Linked DNA regions of Oreochromis niloticus. The protein of the gene in region 2 purifies or fractionates together with the protein of the main gene of each other region. This does not show direct contact. Links are inferred from orthologs where the notes say so. Each region holds a gene or a part of one and is shown on either strand. Other genes may lie near its edges.

Evidence for each region. Proteins that work in one complex are often made in the same cells at the same time.
Region 1: the proteins of casp9 (region 2) and dcc purify together in Homo sapiens (co-immunoprecipitation; 3 studies listed by BioGRID and IntAct, with this or other methods). This does not show direct contact. The link is inferred for Oreochromis niloticus from reciprocal best matches to the Homo sapiens genes CASP9 and DCC.

Annotation. Positions count from the first base shown.
Region 1 is NC_031972.2:34,114,058-34,117,809, forward strand, and holds the start of dcc (netrin receptor DCC), read right to left. Parts: upstream 2,711-3,752; 5' UTR 2,248-2,710; coding exon 2,121-2,247; intron 1-2,120. UniProt on the Homo sapiens protein: Receptor for netrin required for axon guidance. Mediates axon attraction of neuronal growth cones in the developing nervous system upon ligand binding. Its association with UNC5 proteins may trigger signaling for axon repulsion.
Region 2 is NC_031984.2:26,304,409-26,308,160, reverse strand, and holds the start of casp9 (caspase-9), read right to left. Parts: upstream 2,830-3,752; 5' UTR 2,627-2,829; coding exon 2,495-2,626; intron 2,375-2,494; coding exon 2,164-2,374; intron 2,058-2,163; coding exon 1,992-2,057; intron 1,915-1,991; coding exon 1,856-1,914; intron 1,766-1,855; coding exon 1,589-1,765; intron 1,509-1,588; coding exon 1,419-1,508; intron 1,186-1,418; coding exon 1,038-1,185; intron 959-1,037; coding exon 770-958; intron 681-769; coding exon 571-680; intron 472-570; coding exon 367-471; 3' UTR 1-366. Other genes in the region: dnaJ homolog subfamily C member 16, read left to right, coding at 3,617-3,752. UniProt on the Homo sapiens protein: Involved in the activation cascade of caspases responsible for apoptosis execution. Binding of caspase-9 to Apaf-1 leads to activation of the protease which then cleaves and activates effector caspases caspase-3 (CASP3) or caspase-7 (CASP7).

The DNA.
Region 1 (3,752 bases), on a different chromosome or scaffold from region 2:
TTCGATCCAACCAAAGACTCCACCAAGTGATTAACTCTCCTTCAGGTGAAGTGAAGGAACTCATCAGTGAAACCACCTACTGAGACGACTGGCTGGACTAAAAACAGGCAGATTCACCTGTGAAAGTGAGCAGGACCTGCTTCAGCTGTGCAGGAGATTTTCTGAATTGGTGTGTAGGAAGGTTTTGCGAGTCAGGCGTTCGTGTGTGGGTGCGTGTGTGTGTTTAGCCTCCCCACAGATAAATGCTTGGTGTGGGTAAAATATTCAGAAGATTTTATGGCTGAGCTGTTGAAGAAATATCAGCAACACACAAATAAACACACGCACACTCTGAGTCAGAGCTGCTCAGCTGATCCAGCAGCTACATTGTGTGTGTGTGTCTGTGTGAATGTGTACTCTCATATCATCAATTAGCTTAATTAAAGTGTTTGGACATAATTTATTGACAGCAGGAGGTTGAGAGAGAGAGAGAGCGAGAGAGCCCGAGTCCAGCAGCTCTCTCTGATCTGTTTGGTTTTGCAGTGTTTGCTCTTTTGCTTTTATGATTTTCATTATTGAACAAAGATTAAATTAAAAATTCACTCAAATGAGCTGCTTACAACAAGATGTGTGACAGATCTAGTTGTAATACAATTTATTTATTTAGATTACGTATTGTATCTTCACTAATAAACACCAGAAGAAAGAAGGAGGGTGTTACACTGATGGGTTGGACATGTTAGGATATCTGATGGCACTTAGTGTTTAAGTGATATTCATGACAGTGTGCTGCTTCCTAGTCAAAGCCAGACCTAGATAGCACCTCCCTGCACAGCAGCATTCGTACTATTTGCATTTTTGGGGCAATAATACAGTGAAATCTAGAAGATCACTGTTTGGATTATGATCCTGCTTTAAGGCTTGAAACTCGATTTTTTTTATCTAGCTGTTATTTATTTATTAATTGTCTGTCTCGTTGGATTTCTGTTTTTGTTTTTCATAGATCACTTCCTTTTGGGATTATTAAAGTAGTCACTCCAATCAATCATTAGTGTAAGCCGGAACGAATGGACATTAAGGTAAACACAAATAATCCTCCACTAAAAAGATTCACTGCAGTCTGCTTGTCCCACTTGGTTTCATATACAGATAGACTGCCAGAGAGGAAAACCTGGAAAAAGCAGATCAGAGCCAGCAGCCCAACATGCCACTGGCTTGTAAACTTAATCATATCAGGTGAAACTAAACCAGAGAGGAGGGGGAAAAAAGATTCAGTCAAAGCCACAGGCTAGCACATGATCAGACTCTAAGAAACTAGCTAAGGCCCAGTAAAAACTATTTACACTCAGTGCAACCTGGTAAAATTATATGTATATATAGCTATGTATATATATTTATATTAATTAGTTAAATCTAAATATCAGGGACAAATTGGTAAAGAGATGCATATGCAGTTAAAAATACACACCAATATGATCCAGCAGCCTAAACTTCAGCACTATGAAATGAAGGTGAAACAGACTTACAAAGAGCAATTTAAAATTAAGCATAGTAATAACTGAAAATTTAGGTAATTGAAGAAAATCCGGTGCAGACAAGGGATTGTAGGTAAAAAAAACAAAAAAAAAAAACACAAAAACACACAGACAGTCTAACCCAGCTGCAAAGATCCAGAAAGGTTTAACAAACCCTCAGTCAGCCAACAGATCAGCCACATGAAACACACAAGAACCGAGGGAAGGACCAGCAGTCTCACAGCTACTGCAGTAACTCGGTTACTGGAGCTTATAATGAAGGTAAAAATGGAACATAAGTAATAACAAAGACATAATAATAATAATTTTAAAAAAAACTAGAAACCTCTTAGGCAACATTGATCACATGCTGAAGCTTGTCAAACCTTCCAGGGCCTCAGAACACATACAGGAACCCGCATGGTCAGACCCGAGTCCACCCGGGTCAGAACAGAGGCTCTAAAGCCAAAAGGGACGCGCAACAAATGTGCCAATTATCGTTAGGTCTGCGGCACCCAGCAAAGGCACACGCACACTCACACACACACTCTGAGCCCGCACGGACACTCACGCACAAACACACACTGCGGGATGGAGGCAGCAATCATGCATGTCCCCCCCACTCACCGTGCGCTGTGGTGTGAGCAGCCAGCAGCCAGCAGAGCACCAGCAGGTACAGTCCTCCTGTTCTCCTCCTCCTCAGCACCAGCACCTCCCAAACATCACCGGTACATCCAACCAAAACCAGCTCCATGCTGCCCTGCTCCAGTCCCGATGAGTCCGTGGAAGCACAGAAACACACACACACACACAATCCCGCTGTTCTTTCAGTGTTTTTTTGTTTTTGTTTTTAAATCCTCAACAGAATCCAACAGTTAATTAAGAAAATAAAAAATAAAGGAGAAAAAACCCACAGTGTGTTGAGTCAAGAGGATGGTGAGGAGAGAGAAAGAGAGGGGGTAAAACAGCTTCTCTTCTCCCCAAAAATATCCCTGATCCCCAGTCGGGCTAGGATCCCCCAAAGAAAAGAAAAAGGGAAAGGAATTTCCAAAATACACAAATGCAGATCAGTTTCCTCCTTTTAGAGTCGAGAATAAGTTCCAGTAACTACAAGTGAAGAGTCTCCATCACTCCTGCTCGCTGCTGCTTCCCATTCACACAGATGAGAGGATGGTTAAAATCCACGCTGCCTTCCCGGAGGTCTGCTCCGTCTGCCGGGGAGGACTGATGGAGAGGGTCGGAAGAGGAGGGGGGGAGGCGGAGGGTGGAGGGAAAGAGTCGAACCCACTCTCTCTCTCTCTTTTCTCTGTAGGGCTATACAGCCGGAGAGAGAGAGGGTCGAGAGACCCTGTTGGAGTATGGAGCCATTGATCTAAAGAGGCTGGAGGTAAACCTCGGAGCGGGAGTAGAAGCAGGGAGCGGGACGGAGCGGGAGTTGGAACCCGGCGGAGGAGGCAGAACGGCGGGGAGAGATTAGCTGAACTCTCCTGCCCTCTCTGGTCACACAGGGAATATAAACATCAGTCACAGCTGGAAGAGAGTCTCCATCACTTCACAGGTATAAAATCATGATATGCATATTATTATTATTACTATGTGTATTTATGTCAAATAGACAACGTAACCCAGACTGATTCAAAGATATGGAAGTAAAATGCAGCCAAGAAAAGATGTTAAATGTAAGCTTATTTTCTACTGAGGAATGAATATTTATTAGTTTATATGTTTTGACCTTTAAAAAATTACATAGAAATTATAATTGGATTACATTTTATAATTATTATATATATGATTATACATATAATTATATTTATATATATATATATATATATATATATATATATATATATATATATATATATAGATATATATATGTGTGTGTGTGTGTGTGTGTGTGTGTGTAAAGGGAAATACTGTAAATGATCGTTAAGGTACATATACATTAAGCATTTATTTCCATGAATTTTCATGGTAATCACAGAAAACAAAAATCCTTCACATTTGAAAGGTTTTTCTTTAGTGTTGGAGTCCACATATCCATTACATGAAAAACAGGAGTGGCACGTATTGATCCCCAGTTGACCGGACCGGTGAAATTGCTCTTTCTGTTGGTTTAAATACACATGTCCTAACATAATAAAAAAGGAATGCAATTTCAACAGTGTTTCTTAGTTTTCCTCCATGCTAAAGAAATGCTGTTGTAAATGAGAGAAATGTGTCCGCACAAATCTTTGGGCATAAAATATAAGAAATAAATGT
Region 2 (3,752 bases):
GGACAGAACAGGAGAAAGAGCAAAAACAATGGAGAGTATAAATTAAACATTATTGGCTGATGCACATAAGAAGATTAAAGGTTCGCAGAGTGCATGGATTATCTTTCCTCGGTCAGCTGCTGTATCTGTGAAACAAAAATAACCTGAATAACATTTTCACAGTAATAGTTCTGTATTTTAAAAAGCTCATTTAGAAACCATCAGCCCTTAGAAAACACAGAGAGATATTAAAAATACAAGACGTGATCCATTCAGTTAAAGCAGATTCACAGCAGAGTCAGAAATCACACACACTGCAACTGTGCTGAAAAAGAAGTTATAGTGCTGTGAAATGTGGAACTGACACAGACTACCGCACTTGATCCATTATGTTTGGGTTTGAAAGTAGAGGAGTTTGCGGAGGAAGTTAAAGGAACCAGGCATTTGTTTGTAGAGCCCTTTTGCAGAGTTTTGGGAGACTTCATTGTTAACCTAAAACAGGAAGAGTCAATAATCAGACATCACTGTGTCTAAAGCCAATAGCTCTTAAAGTCCTCAGTTATTTTTGCTGATATATTAAGAGAAGCTCACCATCATCAACATTGTGACCAAGTCATCAGTGGCAGCGTTTTCCTCAAGTATATAGTCCAGTGTCTGGACGTACCACGAGCCCGCCTGAGTCTCTCGCCAAGAAACATAACCTGTATTGGTCACATGGCCAAAAAGGTATTAAGGACACATAGATCTGAAAGGCTGTTTTTGTTTAAAAGAAAAAAAACAAAACACGCACCTGGGAAAGTAGAGTAGGACACCAGGATGTCACTCGGAGTGGGCAGGCTGGGTCTGGCGTCCGGTTCATCAGACATGCTCAGGGAGTCACTGCTGGATGACATCGGAATAGCGTCCGTCTGGTCATCCATTCCACCAGAGGATGGTTCGACCTCATCGGGGGACACCTCGAAGCCCATGTCTCTCTCATCTTGGGGACAAACACAAGCTCATTTTTACACCTCACTTGTTCCTATGAATTTTTAAACCGTGCGTTCTGTGACAGCTACCTCCTCCACAGGCCTGGATGAAGAACAGTTTAGGTTTGCCTTGCAAAGATGGGCAATGCTGGCCATTGAGGTAGTTTGTGATAATCTGCACTGGTACGTACTGTCCGTCCACACCGTACACGGCACCAGGGAAGCGGTTGTGATTCACCTAAGGACAGAAATATTAGCAAAAATCATCTTACATGTCAGTCCAGTCAGATGTAGATCTCAGAAAATTGCCTTGCTGGAATAATGACATTTGCCAGTTAAATATTAAAACATTAACTGTAAAAATATTAAATCCTGTGTATTTCCAGAGTATTCCAGCTGATTATTCTGAAGGGATGCAATGTTTTTTTAATGAACTGTAAACAACATCACAATCAGCTCAGCACATCTTACCTCAGTGCCATGGGACAACATGATGACCACGCAGCAGTCATACTGGGAATGATCCTTCTTGGACAAAGTCAACAGCTCGTGTTTGATTTGCTGAAATGTGGAGTTAACCGTTAGGCCCGCAATCTTTAATACCCTTCAACACACACAGAGGCAGAAGACCCGATTCTTACTTTTTGTCTCAGGTTCGTCTTCACTTCCACAACAAAGTTGAGTGTCTTGAATCGTCTCTCCAGCTTTTCACAGTCTATGTTGGAGCCCTTGCGATTTTTCAGCATGCTGTGAGGTTCAAACTCCATGTTGTTTATGATGAGGCAATGACCACACGGGCTCGCATCCATTTTATAGCTCTAAGGCACAGAGACGCACAGAGTAAAAAGAAAACAGAGAAAGGGCCGTCACATAAACATGTAAGTGTGCAGCACAGAAATGGCGCTTACCTGAAGGCTGTCACGTCTTATTCTGCCTGGTCCTGGTCTTAACTGCCACCCGTCAGGCGCTGTGGCACACACATTAATAGACATTAAGCACAAATAAACTTACAAGACTGTTATTTAAATGGATCGCATAGCTTACTAGGAATAGGAGAGATACTTGGCTTTACAACATCTTTACTTGGATTGTCATCATCAACTGGAGAGGCTGTTAAAGAAACAAAGAACACACAGATGAGTCAAATTCTTATCATCTGAAAGTGTCTGGCTCTAAAGACTCTCACATTAAATATTCCATAATGAAATACACTTACGAATTGGAAGAGGCTGGATTACAGGGCGGACAACTTTAGTGGGTGTTGCAGGCTGCAGGGTAACAGCTGGAGCTCCATTCTGTAGGAGCTCTGCCAAACTCTCCTGCCCCGTCTCCTGAAGGCACTCCAGAAATAAGGGGAAAGCCCGACTCCCACGGGTTTCCAGGTCCCGGACTAACTGCCTGGCCTGGTCTCGTCTGGTCCCAGCGCTCTGATAATAGCAGACAGTCTTAATTGAGTACAATTATGAATTTTTTATACCCGCCCCGGGTCAAAAAAAAAAAAAAAAGAAAGAAAAAAAGGAAGAGAAAACCACAGTGTCATGACCGACCTGTATCTCATCGATCATGTCCTGGGTGAAAACTCCTTTTTCCAGAAGGCCATCATAGAGTTTTGATGGATCCAAGTCTGTCACCAGGTTAACCCTGTTCCGCTGAAGAATCTTCTTGTGTGTTTCATCCATTGTCCATTTAATGCTAACGTAATAGAGAAAAAAAAAATCTGTAACTAAAAATTTGTTATTTCGTTTTCGATCACGGTTAAATCTATGTCGTCAAAGGAGCACAATGATCTACTTCTTCGTAAAAGTGAAACGGGTACTTTGTTGTAGGAGTGTCGTTTACAGTTCGTATTTTCTTGTCGGTTTCACAAGCTATTTCCTTGTTTACATCAGCGTTGCCTGTGATTGGTCCACTTAAGGCGGATGAAGAAAAAAGGGAGGGTGTGTTAGATTTAATTTACCCCGCGTTCGTTTCCGCGCGGGTAGCGACCGATAGCCAGCTGAAGCTAAAATCGCGGTACGACGAGCATTAAACCAAACGCACAACTAAAAAGAAACGTAGCCTGTCGACAAAACACTCAATTTCCCGAAATGACTTTCGACACCGGACTCCACCCCCTTTTTCTACTCTCGCTCCAGCTTCGCAGCAGCAGCAGCAGGTTATCGGCTTGCCCTGGAGGATCTGTGGGATGCTGCTGAACACACCCTTTACATTTCGCTGTCGCTTCGAATCAGCGTTGAGCAAGAAGAGGCATTAATAAGGGGGCAAAACCTTCCCCCACTATGTGGCGTTGTACCGGCTGACTGCATCTGCTTCAGGTGACTATAAACGTGCAGATGTGGCGTTGAGACAACCGCTGTAGCAACGCCACTAACACTAAGGGTTTATCCTCGAGGAACACCGTTACTGTCACGGCCCTGTAACATGACACCATAATTATATATGATTTTCAGCTGCCGTATATCGCCTAGCTTGCTTGGGTGCTGTTGTTAGCATGCTGTAATACTGTTTTTAGCATATCGTGCCTGCCTTCACTGTTTCCCATCACCAGAAAGCTAATGGAGGGAAAGGTTTCTCGGATTTGCAAGCCATCTAAAATATAGGTCCTGAACATTTTTTGCCCACTTTAAATGAATGGTGATCGCTCCTCTGATGTGTTGAAGGTAACTGTGATGGCACGGTCAAAGCTGTCTCTGCCACTGGCCATTGTGGCGGTCCTCCATGTGCTGCTGGCGGGACTTGTCTACGCTGAGCCTGAGATGGACCCATACAAAATATTGGGAGTAACGAAGAGGGCAAGCCAGGCAG